Linked DNA regions of Saccharomyces cerevisiae S288C. The gene in region 2 interacts genetically with the main gene of each other region. Each region holds a gene or a part of one and is shown on either strand. Other genes may lie near its edges. The genes, in order: MVD1, RFA3, ZNF1 and CLN3.

Region 1 (3,455 bases), on a different chromosome or scaffold from region 2:
CGCCGTTTTTCAAAGATGAACGTAAATACTGGAAAAGTTCACGATAATTATTGATGATAGATCATTATTCTGCGCTTATATACGTTTTAATTGCTTGCTGGGAACTGCTTATTTGCGATAGTCGCTTGTTTTAAGTCATTACTATGTTTTAATATTGTTTCAGAAAATTATGTTACAGCCGCGTTTTGACTTGAAACGTGCAATATCCAAAAAGAGACTTTACAATTGAAAGCTAACCTAAAATTTGAGAAGATATGTGACAGGTACCCTAAATGTAGATTGGGTGGCTGCTGAGATCTTTAAGTATGAAACGGGTGGACGTACTTGTGCTAAGTGGTGCTGTTAGACAGCTACGAATAAGGAAATTCCGAAGCATGTAGGGAGGTCATGATATGAAAAAGCAAAAGAGTAGGCATCAAAAAGTTTCTCATTCAAGTGGTAACTGCTGTTAAAATTAAGATATTTATAAATTGAAGCTTGGTCGTTCCGACCAATACCGTAGGGAAACGTAAATTAGCTATTGTAAAAAAAGGAAAAGAAAAGAAAAGAAAAATGTTACATATCGAATTGATCTTATTCCTTTGGTAGACCAGTCTTTGCGTCAATCAAAGATTCGTTTGTTTCTTGTGGGCCTGAACCGACTTGAGTTAAAATCACTCTGGCAACATCCTTTTGCAACTCAAGATCCAATTCACGTGCAGTAAAGTTAGATGATTCAAATTGATGGTTGAAAGCCTCAAGCTGCTCAGTAGTAAATTTCTTGTCCCATCCAGGAACAGAGCCAAACAATTTATAGATAAATGCAAAGAGTTTCGACTCATTTTCAGCTAAGTAGTACAACACAGCATTTGGACCTGCATCAAACGTGTATGCAACGATTGTTTCTCCGTAAAACTGATTAATGGTGTGGCACCAACTGATGATACGCTTGGAAGTGTCATTCATGTAGAATATTGGAGGGAAAGAGTCCAAACATGTGGCATGGAAAGAGTTGGAATCCATCATTGTTTCCTTTGCAAAGGTGGCGAAATCTTTTTCAACAATGGCTTTACGCATGACTTCAAATCTCTTTGGTACGACATGTTCAATTCTTTCTTTAAATAGTTCGGAGGTTGCCACGGTCAATTGCATACCCTGAGTGGAACTCACATCCTTTTTAATATCGCTGACAACTAGGACACAAGCTTTCATCTGAGGCCAGTCAGAGCTGTCTGCGATTTGTACTGCCATGGAATCATGACCATCTTCAGCTTTTCCCATTTCCCAGGCCACGTATCCGCCAAACAACGATCTACAAGCTGAACCAGACCCCTTTCTTGCTATTCTAGATATTTCTGAAGTTGACTGTGGTAATTGGTATAACTTAGCAATTGCAGAGACCAATGCAGCAAAGCCAGCAGCGGAGGAAGCTAAACCAGCTGCTGTAGGAAAGTTATTTTCGGAGACAATGTGGAGTTTCCATTGAGATAATGTGGGCAATGAGGCGTCCTTCGATTCCATTTCCTTTCTTAATTGGCGTAGGTCGCGCAGACAATTTTGAGTTCTTTCATTGTCGATGCTGTGTGGTTCTCCATTTAACCACAAAGTGTCGCGTTCAAACTCAGGTGCAGTAGCCGCAGAGGTCAACGTTCTGAGGTCATCTTGCGATAAAGTCACTGATATGGACGAATTGGTGGGCAGATTCAACTTCGTGTCCCTTTTCCCCCAATACTTAAGGGTTGCGATGTTGACGGGTGCGGTAACGGATGCTGTGTAAACGGTCATTGTGCTGGTGCTCACTGTCTGGGAATTTTCAATCTTGCATCACCATTACCAGCACGATGGATGCTCTTTATATATCAATCTTCGAGAAAAGGCTAAACGAGCCATTTCGGCGATTTCGGCATCGTGGAAAAGTTTCACAAGAATCAGGCCAAAATTAAAAGTAAGGTTATCAGAAGGGCGGAGTATACTATAGATTACAGTAGAAATAACTGTCGTAGAATAACAGTGTCAACTAATGTTTATTTGGCAGAGAAAGAGTATTTTACTAGGGAGGTCCATTCTGGGCAGCGGCCGAGTTACCGTTGCTGGAATCATTGGAAGCAGCAGAAAGAGATATACGTCTTCTTCCTCCTCCTCCTCCTCCCCTTCCTCGAAAGAATCAGCACCTGTGTTTACGTCGAAAGAGTTGGAAGTTGCAAGAAAGGAAAGATTGGATGGACTGGGACCGTTCGTGTCTCGGCTGCCTAAGAAATGGATACCGTATGCGGAGCTGATGAGGCTAGAGAAACCCGTGGGCACGTGGCTGTTATATTTGCCCTGCAGTTGGTCTATACTTATGGGAGCCATGATGCAAGGTGCTACATTGAGCGCAACAGCTGGTATGTTGGGTATTTTCGGTGTAGGTGCATTGGTAATGAGAGGTGCTGGCTGCACCATCAACGATTTTTTGGATAGAAAGTTGGATCAAAGAGTTATCAGGTCCGTCGAGAGGCCTATCGCCTCTGGTAGAGTGAGCCCCCGTCGGGCGTTAGTATTCTTGGGGGCTCAAACTCTTGTTGGAATGGGCGTTCTATCTTTGCTTCCTGCGCAGTGTTGGTGGCTAGGCCTTGCATCGTTACCTATTGTGTTCACATACCCTTTGTTTAAGCGGTTTACGTACTATCCTCAAGCTGCATTAAGTGCATGTTTCAATTGGGGAGCGTTACTTGGGTTTCCTGCCATGGGTGTAATGAGCTGGCCTACAATGATACCTTTGTACCTGAGCAGTTACTTGTGGTGTATGACTTACGATACTATATACGCACACCAGGATAAAAAGTTTGACATCAAGGCTGGAATCAAGTCTACCGCTTTGGCTTGGGGTCCACGCACAAAGTCTATCATGAAGGCCATGTCCGCGTCTCAAATCGCACTGTTAGCTGTCGCCGGCTTGAACAGTGGGTTGTTATGGGGGCCTGGGTTCATTGGTGGACTAGGAGTCTTCGCTTATAGACTCTTCAGCATGATAAAGAAAGTGGATCTTGACAATCCTAAAAACTGCTGGAAGTATTTTAATGCAAATATCAACACCGGACTTTACTTTACGTACGCCTTGGCAGTCGACTACATCTTGAGACTGTTTGGATTCTTGTAGATATAGCGTGCATATACAAGTGTTTAATTGTTCTTTTATTCGATTATTATTTACATGCATTCTTACGTAGATGTCCGTACCTATTTGGGCTTCACGATATTCTTGATGGATGATCTAGAATTCCCCGAGTGAAATAGGGTCTTGGCAGACGTATGTGAAAGGATCTGAGTTAATATTGACCTGTTCAATAGCTTATTTTCTGCCACACTGTTGAAAAAGCAGTCCAAGATCCTGGCGTCATTCTTCACAACGCTACCAGATCTCGAGAAAATGTAAAATTTATTGAAAAATGAGGGTGCTTTTTCATCCACTGTGAAGAAAACAAAGGTGGCCTTAT
Region 2 (2,541 bases):
TTGACAGTCGTTCATTTACTGTTCCGTACACCAAGCAGACTGGTACGTCGCGTTTCGCTCCAATGCAAATGCAGCCAAATACTAAAGTGACCGCTACCACATGGACAAGGAAATTTGCCACTAGTGCTGTGACATATTACTCTACCTTTGGGTCATTGCCAGAGCAAGCAACTACGATAACTCCTGGCTGGTCTTATACGATATCATCGGGAGTAAACTACGCTACTCCTGCATCTATGCCTTCAGATAATGGTGGTTGGTACAAACCATCCAAGAGATTGTCTTTGTCTGCAAGGAAAATCAACATGAGAAAAGTATGAAAAATAGACGGCTTCTACTATCATCATTACAGTAAGGGTTGAAGTCAGGAAAGGTTAAAAATAAAATAAATATCAAAAAGTTTTTAGCGGAAGGCGTTAAGGCAGCAAGTACACATTCATTTATCTATCTATACATCTATAAACACAACTACAATTTTTTTAGAAATGGAATTTATTATATGAAGGGAAGACATATAGAGGCAACAGTACATAAAGGTAAGAATAAAAGCGATTTTAGCTAGTATATTTCTGGGTATTTCTTACATAGTCTCTGTAAAGCAACCACACCGTTTAAGCTTAAATCTTCGTTCTCCTTGAATTTGCATAGTACAGCGTCTAGAATCAAAAATCCTAGCTCGCCGTCATCATTGTTCCTGCAAACAAACTCATACCACGAGTCGATCTCAAATGTTTTATTCATAGATACACGAATATTGTTCAACGTAATCATTTCAACCTCGCTGCCGTTTTTCGATGATATGGTTGGCGATTGTAAAATCAACTGAGATTCAGTGGGTTGTGATTTGATTTGCGCTATTATCCTAAACACAGGAGCATTGACGTTGGAGATTTCTGTGGGGTCAACTCTTGGTGTTTCGCTGGCCATTTTTACTTGTGTTACTGGTAGACGATGTTCTACAAGAATGGTGAAGGGTGTGTTATATTGCTCTTTATTTAAACACGAACGAAAAAAATATCGCGTATTGCCACATTTGGCGCGTCAATATTAAAGAACGAAGGCATTATATAGGGCGACTTGTCATGATTCCAACCATGGCATGGGCGGTGGATGCTTCTCAGCAGTGGCCCATTACGTTAGTCAACGACTGTTGGCTGTCATCTGTTCTTGTTGGGTGCTTGCAGCTGCATCGACAAACATGGATGGATGCCTCTACATATATATATATATTTATGTAATGGACCTCTGAATATTTTACTATGTAACTGACTATAGGAGATACCACTGGTGCTGTAGTACAATTTAGCACTTGCAAGCGTTGACACAGTTGTTGCGAAGGCCTCTTTCTTGTAGCACTTAATTGGAGTATGACTGCCATCATGTAGGGAAATTATGAAAGCATAGGATCAATCTTGACGTTGCAAAGAAGAAGAGACTTGCTGTTCCCTATTGATCACTTACCGTTATTGGAGTTCATATGGTACTTTTTTCATAATTTTACGAGTAATCCCTAGTGGTAGTTAATATTCAGCAAATAAAATACCAGTTTGAGACCAAAGGTAAGATAAGAGTTTACTGATAAAGACAAAGAATTGGGATGACCTAGTCCAAGGGATTATAGTACCTTCGCGAGTATTGCATATAAGCTTTTAGCGATACACAAACAAAGCGACACCGGGATTTGCATATCGCTTGTTCCTACGACGTTGTCAGTTCCATAACCTCTGATTTCCCATACGGATTTTGAAAATCAGCTACGAATAGATAGTCTTTTTCTATTTTCAGTAAATGTGTCATTGAAAAAAGTTTCTTTAGAACGACGCTTTTTGCAGGCTACTAGAAACACCCACTTCTAGTAGCTTTACGTGACGAATTGAACCGCGTGATCTTGTGCACTGTTATCCTAAATGCTCAATGCTCAGAACATCTTCTTGTTATCTCAGCCTCGCCACCCTTATCTTATCATAGCGGCCTTTTATTTTCCCCTTTGGGCAAAATACGATACAGCCTTCCAAGGTCGGGCAAGAAAGTTTATGACATATAAAAGAAACGGGTACCCCAAATACGTCTCTTCCCATTGTAAAACTAATCCTGCATCATCACATTAAGGAATCATTCATCTAACAATTACATTATGATCGCCTTACCAGTAGAGAAGGCCCCTAGAAAGTCCCTATGGCAAAGGCACAGAGCCTTTATTAGTGGAATAGTTGCCCTTATTATCATCGGCACCTTCTTCCTCACTTCGGGTCTCCACCCAGCACCACCTCATGAGGCAAAGCGTCCACACCATGGAAAAGGTCCCATGCACTCACCCAAATGTGAGAAGATTGAACCATTAAGTCCATCATTCAAACATTCCGTCGACACAATTCTTCATGACCCTGCCTTTAGAAACAGCTCCATTGAGAAACTGTCCAATGCTGTTAGAATCCCCACTGTAGTCCAAGACAAAAACCCCAACCCCGCAGATGATCCGGATTTCTATAAGCATTTTTATGAACTACACGACTATTTTGAGAAGACTTTCCCTAATATTCA
Region 3 (3,790 bases), on a different chromosome or scaffold from region 2:
TCTTTTTGGTTTCTATACTACTCCAACTAATGTAACTGTGGAAATGACAGGGTACTTAATATGGAGTATGGGCAACCGACGCCGTTGAACCTCTCCTTGGAGATTCTGATAATTTTATGACCATGACTTCTCGTGCACCTTACAGGAAACTTTAATGGCCTGATAAGTACAGCTATATTGTGATCACAATTATTAAAAACTAACTCATTTCATCTATAACCAAGTACAAATCGCACGACTATCATGACGATAAAAGCGTATATCCTTGATTTAATTCACATCACAATCACCCCCCTTGAAAAAAAAATAAATTTTTTTTCTTGCTATAATAGCATAATTGTCCACAAGTTCACTATTAGTGCTATCATTCTTCCCCACTGCCGCAAAATTGCAAAGGAAATAATTGTTTGCCCTGCAGGAACCATATACTAAAGAAGAAATAGATGCTATTAGCCTCTTCAACTGTCCGTAATCACTACATCTTGAAAGGTAAAATGCAAGTAGCAATGTGTTTACTTAAGGAAGCGCATCTACATCTTCTTTAGAACCATCTGTCGATTCAAGCGGATTAGAAAGAGGAAGCGTGATAAGCGCACACTGACACTTTGTCGTAAACTTATCAACTAATGTGCTATCACAATGCTTAAGAGAGAAGACAAATTTGGATATATCGAACAAAAAATTCCAAGCCTCCGACTCTGCATTTTGATCGTACTGATTCACAACATCTACCAATGCGTCGGCTATTTCTAGTGCTTTCACTGATATCCCTGGACCGTGAACTGCATAAAGATTTTTTGGGATTAAAAATGTGTCTTCTAACATGTCTCTAGCAATTTCTACTGGAATATGCGTATTCTTGCTATTTGAAAGGAAACTGATTCGCATACCGCTTATTTGAAGCACTAGCTTCCAAGCAAGTGTTCTAATCCAATGCCGTGAAAAAGATATGTCTACATAGCCGTAAGACCATGGTTCTATCTCAAGTGGCACCGTATGAAGTTCCCTCCATATCTTTTTAAGGGAGTCTTCAGTACAGGTTACATTAGCAGAGTCGGTAGCTAGAGCATCAAAGAAGCATTTTCCCGGTACAGTAAATACCCTAATCATCTCCAAGAAGCTGTCGAGAGATAGTCGGGGGTCCGTTACGTTCTCCGGTTGTGGTGGAGCAATCGTGGTATCCAGGCTCGTGGCGCAATGCGTATACACAGAAAAGTATCTTTCCGTTAAGAGAAGCAAATAATAAACTTTCCTTCCAAGCTGCTGCTCATCGAAAGGAAGAAGTTTCAAAGTTTCCTCGCGATGGAACCCCGCCAACTTAATGAGCCCCACGGCTTCACAAGAAAGCCGATACGAAGTTCTTGAGTTGGACATCTGTGCGTAGCAGCGGTTTAGACAATAGTACGTCATAATCTTGAATATATCACTACCGTTAAAATCGTCAAATTCTTGGCGTGATGACATGCAGAAACTGGATAACTGTATCCCAGTAAAGGTAACCCCTCCTTCCGACTCAATTTCAGTCTGCAAATCGCTAAGCGTGGCGGCAGAAAGAGATACCAGGAACCAATACACACAGGTTTCGTCATATCTTTTCTCTAAAAGTTCGTAAAGATCATCATAACACAGCAAAGGCCAGATCACATACAACTTATCATTATAGAGCCGCAGACACTGATCAATTAGTGCCTTTGGAACCTTCATTATGCCACCACTACTACTTTTACTAAATACCTGTACATCATCTACTTTCTTTAAATTTCTCACCTTGACGGGTTTTGGACCTCTTTTCTTCAAAGGTCGAAGATATGTACATTGCAGATTGTGTTGAAGACAACATTTACATGGTTTTTTACGATCACACTTTACTCGACGAATGCAACAACAGTCGCACGCTTGTCTATTGCGGGCCATCTTCGAACTAGAGCTCTTTTACTTTAGCTCTTTTGACAAGACAATGAAGCATTTCTTGAAGGTTTTCTTCTTTTCTCCGTATTTAAGTCAACAAGATATAGCTAATTTATTAAGCCGGGGGTGGGGAAAAACGCGGTAGTAACGTGGGGTACTTTAAAGTGGGGGAGATGGCACAGACAAAGCCGCAGGTACCTCGAGAACTCAGGGGAAAAAGGAACGCAGTTCAATAAGCTACCGATTTGGCAGATCTCAGGAGTAAAAATATAAATCTTAGTGCACATACAAGTGATAACTGCAACTCCAGATTTTTCTTTCGGTCGATTCGTTGATGCAACAATGTCGAAATTATAGTTAGGCGTTTGTTCCTGTAATTTAACTTCAAGTGGAGGAGTCAATGTTCTTTCCTATGTTCTATTTGTGGGATAGAAAAGTTAAAAAGAAGGTTTTTGAGTATCCCAGTGATAGTGCAGTACTACTTCTGTGTATTCCCGATTATTACAACGGCGGAGTTTTTTTCGCATAAACTCAGACTACTAAGTAACTCTCGAGCATCGTGAAGATCCTGATACTTTATCTATGCATTACGTACGGAACGGAGTGAGGCCTTTCTCCAGAAAAATCGTTGAGATGGCATGTAGGTTCTAGATTTGTGACGACACTCAACAAGAAAAGTTTGAGGTGAATATCTTACCCGCGACATCTGGAGCGAGAAGAAAGCCGTAATCGATAACGTATTCTCTCAATGCTGTGGCGTTTCAGTAGTATTTTGTTATTACCGACGAAAACGGTTCCTCAAGAAATAAAATATATCTAGAGGTAAGTTGCAAAACGCTAGACTATTTATGGCAAGATTAGTATTTGCTGTCGTGATATCATAAGTAGAGACACATGTTCAGCTTCTCACTTGAATTTAGGTTAGAACAAAATCTTTAAACAGCAGTTACAATGAATGTTTGGGAGACCTAGTCAGTCTCCATACTGCCAAGAAAAAGGTTAGTCGAACTGGAAAAACAAGGCTGTACTGCACCCTAATGTTTCTTAGTAAGCAATTCGCTATCGACGCCGAATACCATGAACATCAACCTTGTGAAAGCTTTCGCATATTGGCGCTCAAGAGATATAGACGGTACTAGTGAAAGAGAGACAAGGCCGCCGGATTACTTGCTCTCGTCATTGTAATTGTTCAATTTCACAGACATTTCTCTGGCATGTATCCATTGGGGCACCACAATAAGGGAATATTTTACAATATCGTAAGCTGTTCGTAATACGCGGCTTCTCTTTACTCAAAGCCCAATGAATCCTGGCTTCGAAAATCATACAAACTGTGAAATCTACTTATTTGAAATGACAAACACTGCTTCCCAGTCTGGAGGCTCTCTTTGAGGATAACTAACATGTATGGCTAAAAATAGTTAAAATAATTGAGACGACATTGCACTTGCTATAATCAGACTTCAATAACATATGCATACAAGAAACTTCTCTTTTGAAATAGGAGCGGGGCTCCATCACAAAGAGATTGAAATTTGATACTAGCTCTAAAATCGAGGCAGGGATGTTCCAATGATCGAGTTTGTCATGAAATATAAGGATGTTCACGTCAAGCTCGAGAAATGTTTCAAAATACCGCGAAATAACTCAAAAAGCTGGGTCACGAAGAAATGATTCTAGAAACAGGCGCTTATGCTCTTATATAATGAGATGTCTACATCGTCAGAACTAAGTGCGAAGAATACGGCCTACATTAGAGATTCTTCAAGGTAGTGAAACGTATTCGTGGCAGTGGTTATGGAACTGCCTTACGGTTGATTCAAAAGACTCATTGCATACTCAATTTAAAACGGCTCAAATCATTTGAAAAAATAATAGGCAA
Region 4 (3,978 bases), on a different chromosome or scaffold from region 2:
AAAATTTCGAATACACATAATAACAACATTTCACCAATCACCAAGATCAAATATCAGGACGAAGATGGGGATTTTGTTGTGTTAGGTAGCGATGAAGATTGGAATGTTGCTAAAGAAATGTTGGCGGAAAACAATGAGAAATTCTTGAACATTCGTCTGTATTGATAAATAAAACTAGTATACAGCAAATACTAAATAATTCAAGAAAAAAACATTAGATAGAGAGGGGCAGATGTTCAAGCTATACCCATTATATTGATCCACACTTAGTATTAAGATACGTCTGTGAAGGATGAAAAAAAATGTATAATGTGACTAGAGGAAGTAAGGAGAAAAAACGATAGTAATCGTATTTTAGGTTGTGCGTTTTTATAATTTTTTTTTTTTTGTAATTCTATGCAAATGTAATATAAGTATATTTAAAGAAATAATGAGTCCTGTGAAAACAAAAAGAAAAAAAGATCATTAATGTATGTTAACGTATTTGCTTTGCAAATTTTAATTTATTTGTTGTTAAATGCATTTTTTTTTTGTCGTTTCAGCGAGTTTTCTTGAGGTTGCTACTATCATTAAAATCACAATCCACAGAGGAAGTTGATCTCTTTTTCAGTTGGGTGGGGGCAGAGCATGGGTGAGCAGTGGCCATGGGTCTAACAGGAAATAATCTTTTTGAACGCACAGATAAATTTTGTAATAATTTTCTATTTGACATTAGAGATGGGGTGGTGGGAGTTAGTGGGCTTGGCCAAAAGATGCTTGAATTTTGTGGGATGCTCAGTGACCTTTTAAAAGAATTTTGGGTAGAAGAGAACGAACCTGAATGTGAATGGTGTGATGCAGAGTCTGGGGTCGTCATTGAACTTGAAGTCTTGTAAGGGGAATTGAATGGAGATGGAGAGGATGAAGATGAGGTTGGAGTGAAGGCAAATGGTGGAGAAATGCTATCTTTGGTCAACCTTCTTAAATGAGTGTGATCCGAGAAATAGTCTGTGGCCGCAGATGAAACCGTAGCGCTCTTTGGAGTAGTAGCATTTGAGTAAACACAAGTCAATGAATCGCTGTCAAAGGACTGAGCAAAGATAGTATTGTACATGGTTTCCAATTCTTGTGAACGGTAGAATTCTTCCAGTTTCAATTGAATACAATAGTTTTGTAATGCGTCTAAGAGAGATTTTGCTAAAGATGTCTTATTGCTATTCAAATATTTTGATTTGAAACTGGAGGGGAAAGAATTTTGGTCCATTGCTATATCCAATAAAGTATTAGAGATTTCTGACAATTTAATATCTAGGTCTTGGCAGTTTTCCTCCAAAGCCAGATTGATATTTTCCCAAAGGTTTGAATTATAGTAGTTCAAAGATAATTTGATGAGGTTAATTGCACCCAGCGCAATTAGTGAACGATCATATTTAAATGATAATTCGAGATTGAAGGAAGCTAACTCGCACAACATAATGGCACCCAATTTGATCTCGTTGATGTTCAAAGAGGGGCCTTGAGAAGAGGACGATTTATTAATAGCAGTACCAGCAGCGTTATTTAATAAGGCCAGTTTCTGTTGAATGAAAGCTTCCAAAGGGGCAGAAAGGACAACGCCAGGCGATAACGGGGACGTAGATTGGAACAAGAAGATGTCGATGTAGGAGTCGAATGTTGCCGACTGACAGATGGACCAATCGAGTGATTTGAAAAGATGCATTTCCATAGTCGTGAATTGCTTTATAGAATATTGATTGCAACACAAGTTTTGCAAGACTTTCAAAGTGGCCATTCTATTCTTGGAGTCCCAAAATTTGGACGAAATCCAAAGCGCGGTCAAGGACAAGAGCTGGTAGTTGTAACTCTTGATAATGAACCGCGAGGAATACTTGTCCAAGATAGTGAAAGTAAGGAACAAAGTCGAGGTCGATAGATTGAGTCTTGTGTGACAGTACATGATGAAGTCAAAGATCAAGAAACGCATCTTCGGATTAACTTGTGGCTGAGAGTTGAAGTTAGTCAGGTTGTACAGCGGCCTTTCTGTGTGGGAAAGACGGAAATAGTGGTCCAATTGATCATTATTGTATTCGCTGATCGCTGAGTGATGTGCTTGCAATTCTCTTTTAACGAGATTAGGGTTTTTAGACTTTGCACTAGCAATGGCCCGCCTCTTTTGCAAGAGCAAGGGCAAATTAGGACATGAGGCAGCGCTGACAGAGGCGGCAGTGGCGGTGGAAGTGCCACTAGCGGTAGCATACCTTGCATTAGCGTATCTAATTATGGTATCCTTCAATATGGCCATCGTACAGAAAGCGTATCAAATCAGTGTCTTGAACGAGAGTAAAAGGGAGATGCAATGGAATGTAAGAAATGCTATGGGTCAGAAAAGAAATGCAGAGGAGTTAAACCGAATGAGGAAATGCAATGGATACGTTAAATTGGAGATGTGAGATTGCGACTGGGACTCGGATGGATGCTTGCTTTTGGATGCTAGTACAGAGAAAAAAGAGGGAGAAAAGAAAAGAGAAATAGAAAAAGGTTGGTTTAAGTCGGCAGAGGAGACTACTCGGGCAATTCGTTTCCTAATGGGTATAGTCCTCTTTCCTCAGAAATCCATTTGACTGGCAGACTCAGTAGTAGAAGAAAAAATCAAGAAAGAAATTGTGTGAAAGTATACTACACAAGAAAATGTTTAAGAAGAAGATTAAAAGCTCGAGGAAAGTACAGATATACAAATTATAAATAGGTAGGAGGAAGAAAAAAAAAAGATGAGGGCAAAAACCCAAGGCCAAATATGGAAATGTGGCAGAGGGACACACTAATCCGATAGTAAATTTATGTAACTTGATCATTACAGTGAGAGCAGGCTTGGTAATTTCTTTTTCTTGCCTGATAATTTTTCACTTTTTCTTTTTTTTTTTCTTGAAAGTTCACAATTTAGGGTTTGAGCACAGCGTTTGGTTGCGACACTTCCCCAGAAGGAAAACCGGCCTCTTTGGCTGGGGAGGGAAGAAGGGGGAGGAGAGCTCAGAAAGCCCTATCGCGATATGAGGGACCGATCTGTATCAGCATACTTTCGGTATCATCACGGTCGCAGGATAGAGATAGTGAATGAGTTAGCTGTTTTACAGGCCAAGCGTTCAAACGAGACGAATGGCGACATTTGCCCGTCAAGAAAACCCGCCGAGTTTTTTCCTAAACGGGTAAAACAGCCATGCACCGCAGCACGTCGACGAGGTGATATTTCCAATTTGGGAAATTTCCCAAATCAGTAATGTAGCCTCTACGGGTGTCTCTGTCAGCCCCGTGGTCGCCAGCACAGAATGTATCGTACCCCTGAAGGTAGTTTTTTACCGCCGTGGCACACGATAAAGGTGCACCTTGTGATAATAAGGTGGAAAAATATATATGAAAAAGTGAAATTGATTGTGGCTGCACTAGGACATCATTATTTCTTACTTGGCTATTTACACGTACTTACGCTGGCTGTATATCATTTAAGGGGCGGAGGACGAAGAGGACGGACCCGAGATCATCCGGTCCAAGAAACGGGTCATCCGGTCCTTAGCATTGTCTAGACTATCTAGGGCAGGACGGACATCCACGTGGAAAGTAGGCATTCCGTTTTCGTCGTCGGGCCCTCCGTAGAAATCCAAGACGTATCTAACTTCCTTGAAGGTTGGAGGTTGTTGTTCCGCTTTGCGCTCGCCTCGGAGTACAATCCAGTCGTGCCTGTCGAATGGTAGTTCTTGGCTAAAATGGGACGGAAACAGTAGGCCGCACAGGTGCATCCAGCGAGCACGAGGGCTCAATACGCCCGGTTTCCCCATGAATTTCAGCAACTTAGGCTGCACGTGGCTTTCATCTGTGTGCGGTTTTTCCCATTCGAGCACTTCCTGCCAGCACCCTTCATTTAGAAAGTTGTGGACCTGCACCATGGACTCCACTGCATCTTCGGCGACTTCGCCGCTACCGCCAATCTTGCCCTTTCTAACCATA

Evidence for each region.
Region 1: mutations in RFA3 (region 2) and MVD1 together harm fitness more than expected from each alone (negative genetic interaction), as found in Saccharomyces cerevisiae (one large-scale study listed by BioGRID).
Region 3: mutations in RFA3 (region 2) and ZNF1 together harm fitness more than expected from each alone (negative genetic interaction), as found in Saccharomyces cerevisiae (one large-scale study listed by BioGRID).
Region 4: mutations in RFA3 (region 2) and CLN3 together harm fitness more than expected from each alone (negative genetic interaction), as found in Saccharomyces cerevisiae (one large-scale study listed by BioGRID).

Annotation. Positions count from the first base shown.
Region 1 is NC_001146.8:700,204-703,658, reverse strand, and holds MVD1 (diphosphomevalonate decarboxylase MVD1), read right to left. Parts: upstream 1,765-3,455; coding exon 574-1,764; downstream 1-573. Other genes in the region: COQ2 (4-hydroxybenzoate octaprenyltransferase), read left to right, coding at 2,000-3,118; MRX15 (Mrx15p), read right to left, coding at 3,199-3,455. UniProt on the Saccharomyces cerevisiae protein: Diphosphomevalonate decarboxylase; part of the second module of ergosterol biosynthesis pathway that includes the middle steps of the pathway. MVD1/ERG19 converts diphosphomevalonate into isopentenyl diphosphate.
Region 2 is NC_001142.9:95,603-98,143, forward strand, and holds RFA3 (Rfa3p), read right to left. Parts: upstream 928-2,541; coding exon 559-927; downstream 1-558. Other genes in the region: KRE9 (Kre9p), read left to right, coding at 1-320; CPS1 (Gly-Xaa carboxypeptidase), read left to right, coding at 2,135-2,541. UniProt on the Saccharomyces cerevisiae protein: As part of the replication protein A (RPA/RP-A), a single-stranded DNA-binding heterotrimeric complex, may play an essential role in DNA replication, recombination and repair.
Region 3 is NC_001138.5:26,356-30,145, reverse strand, and holds ZNF1 (DNA-binding domain containing protein), read right to left. Parts: upstream 1,915-3,790; coding exon 517-1,914; downstream 1-516. Other genes in the region: YFL051C (uncharacterized protein), read left to right, coding at 1-88. UniProt on the Saccharomyces cerevisiae protein: Transcription factor that regulates respiratory growth and plays a critical role in stress adaptation during non-fermentative growth.
Region 4 is NC_001133.9:65,240-69,217, forward strand, and holds CLN3 (cyclin CLN3), read right to left. Parts: upstream 2,282-3,978; coding exon 539-2,281; downstream 1-538. Other genes in the region: Rho family guanine nucleotide exchange factor CDC24, read left to right, coding at 1-165; holocytochrome c synthase CYC3, read right to left, coding at 3,477-3,978. UniProt on the Saccharomyces cerevisiae protein: Essential for the control of the cell cycle at the G1/S (start) transition. CLN3 may be an upstream activator of the G1 cyclins which directly catalyze start.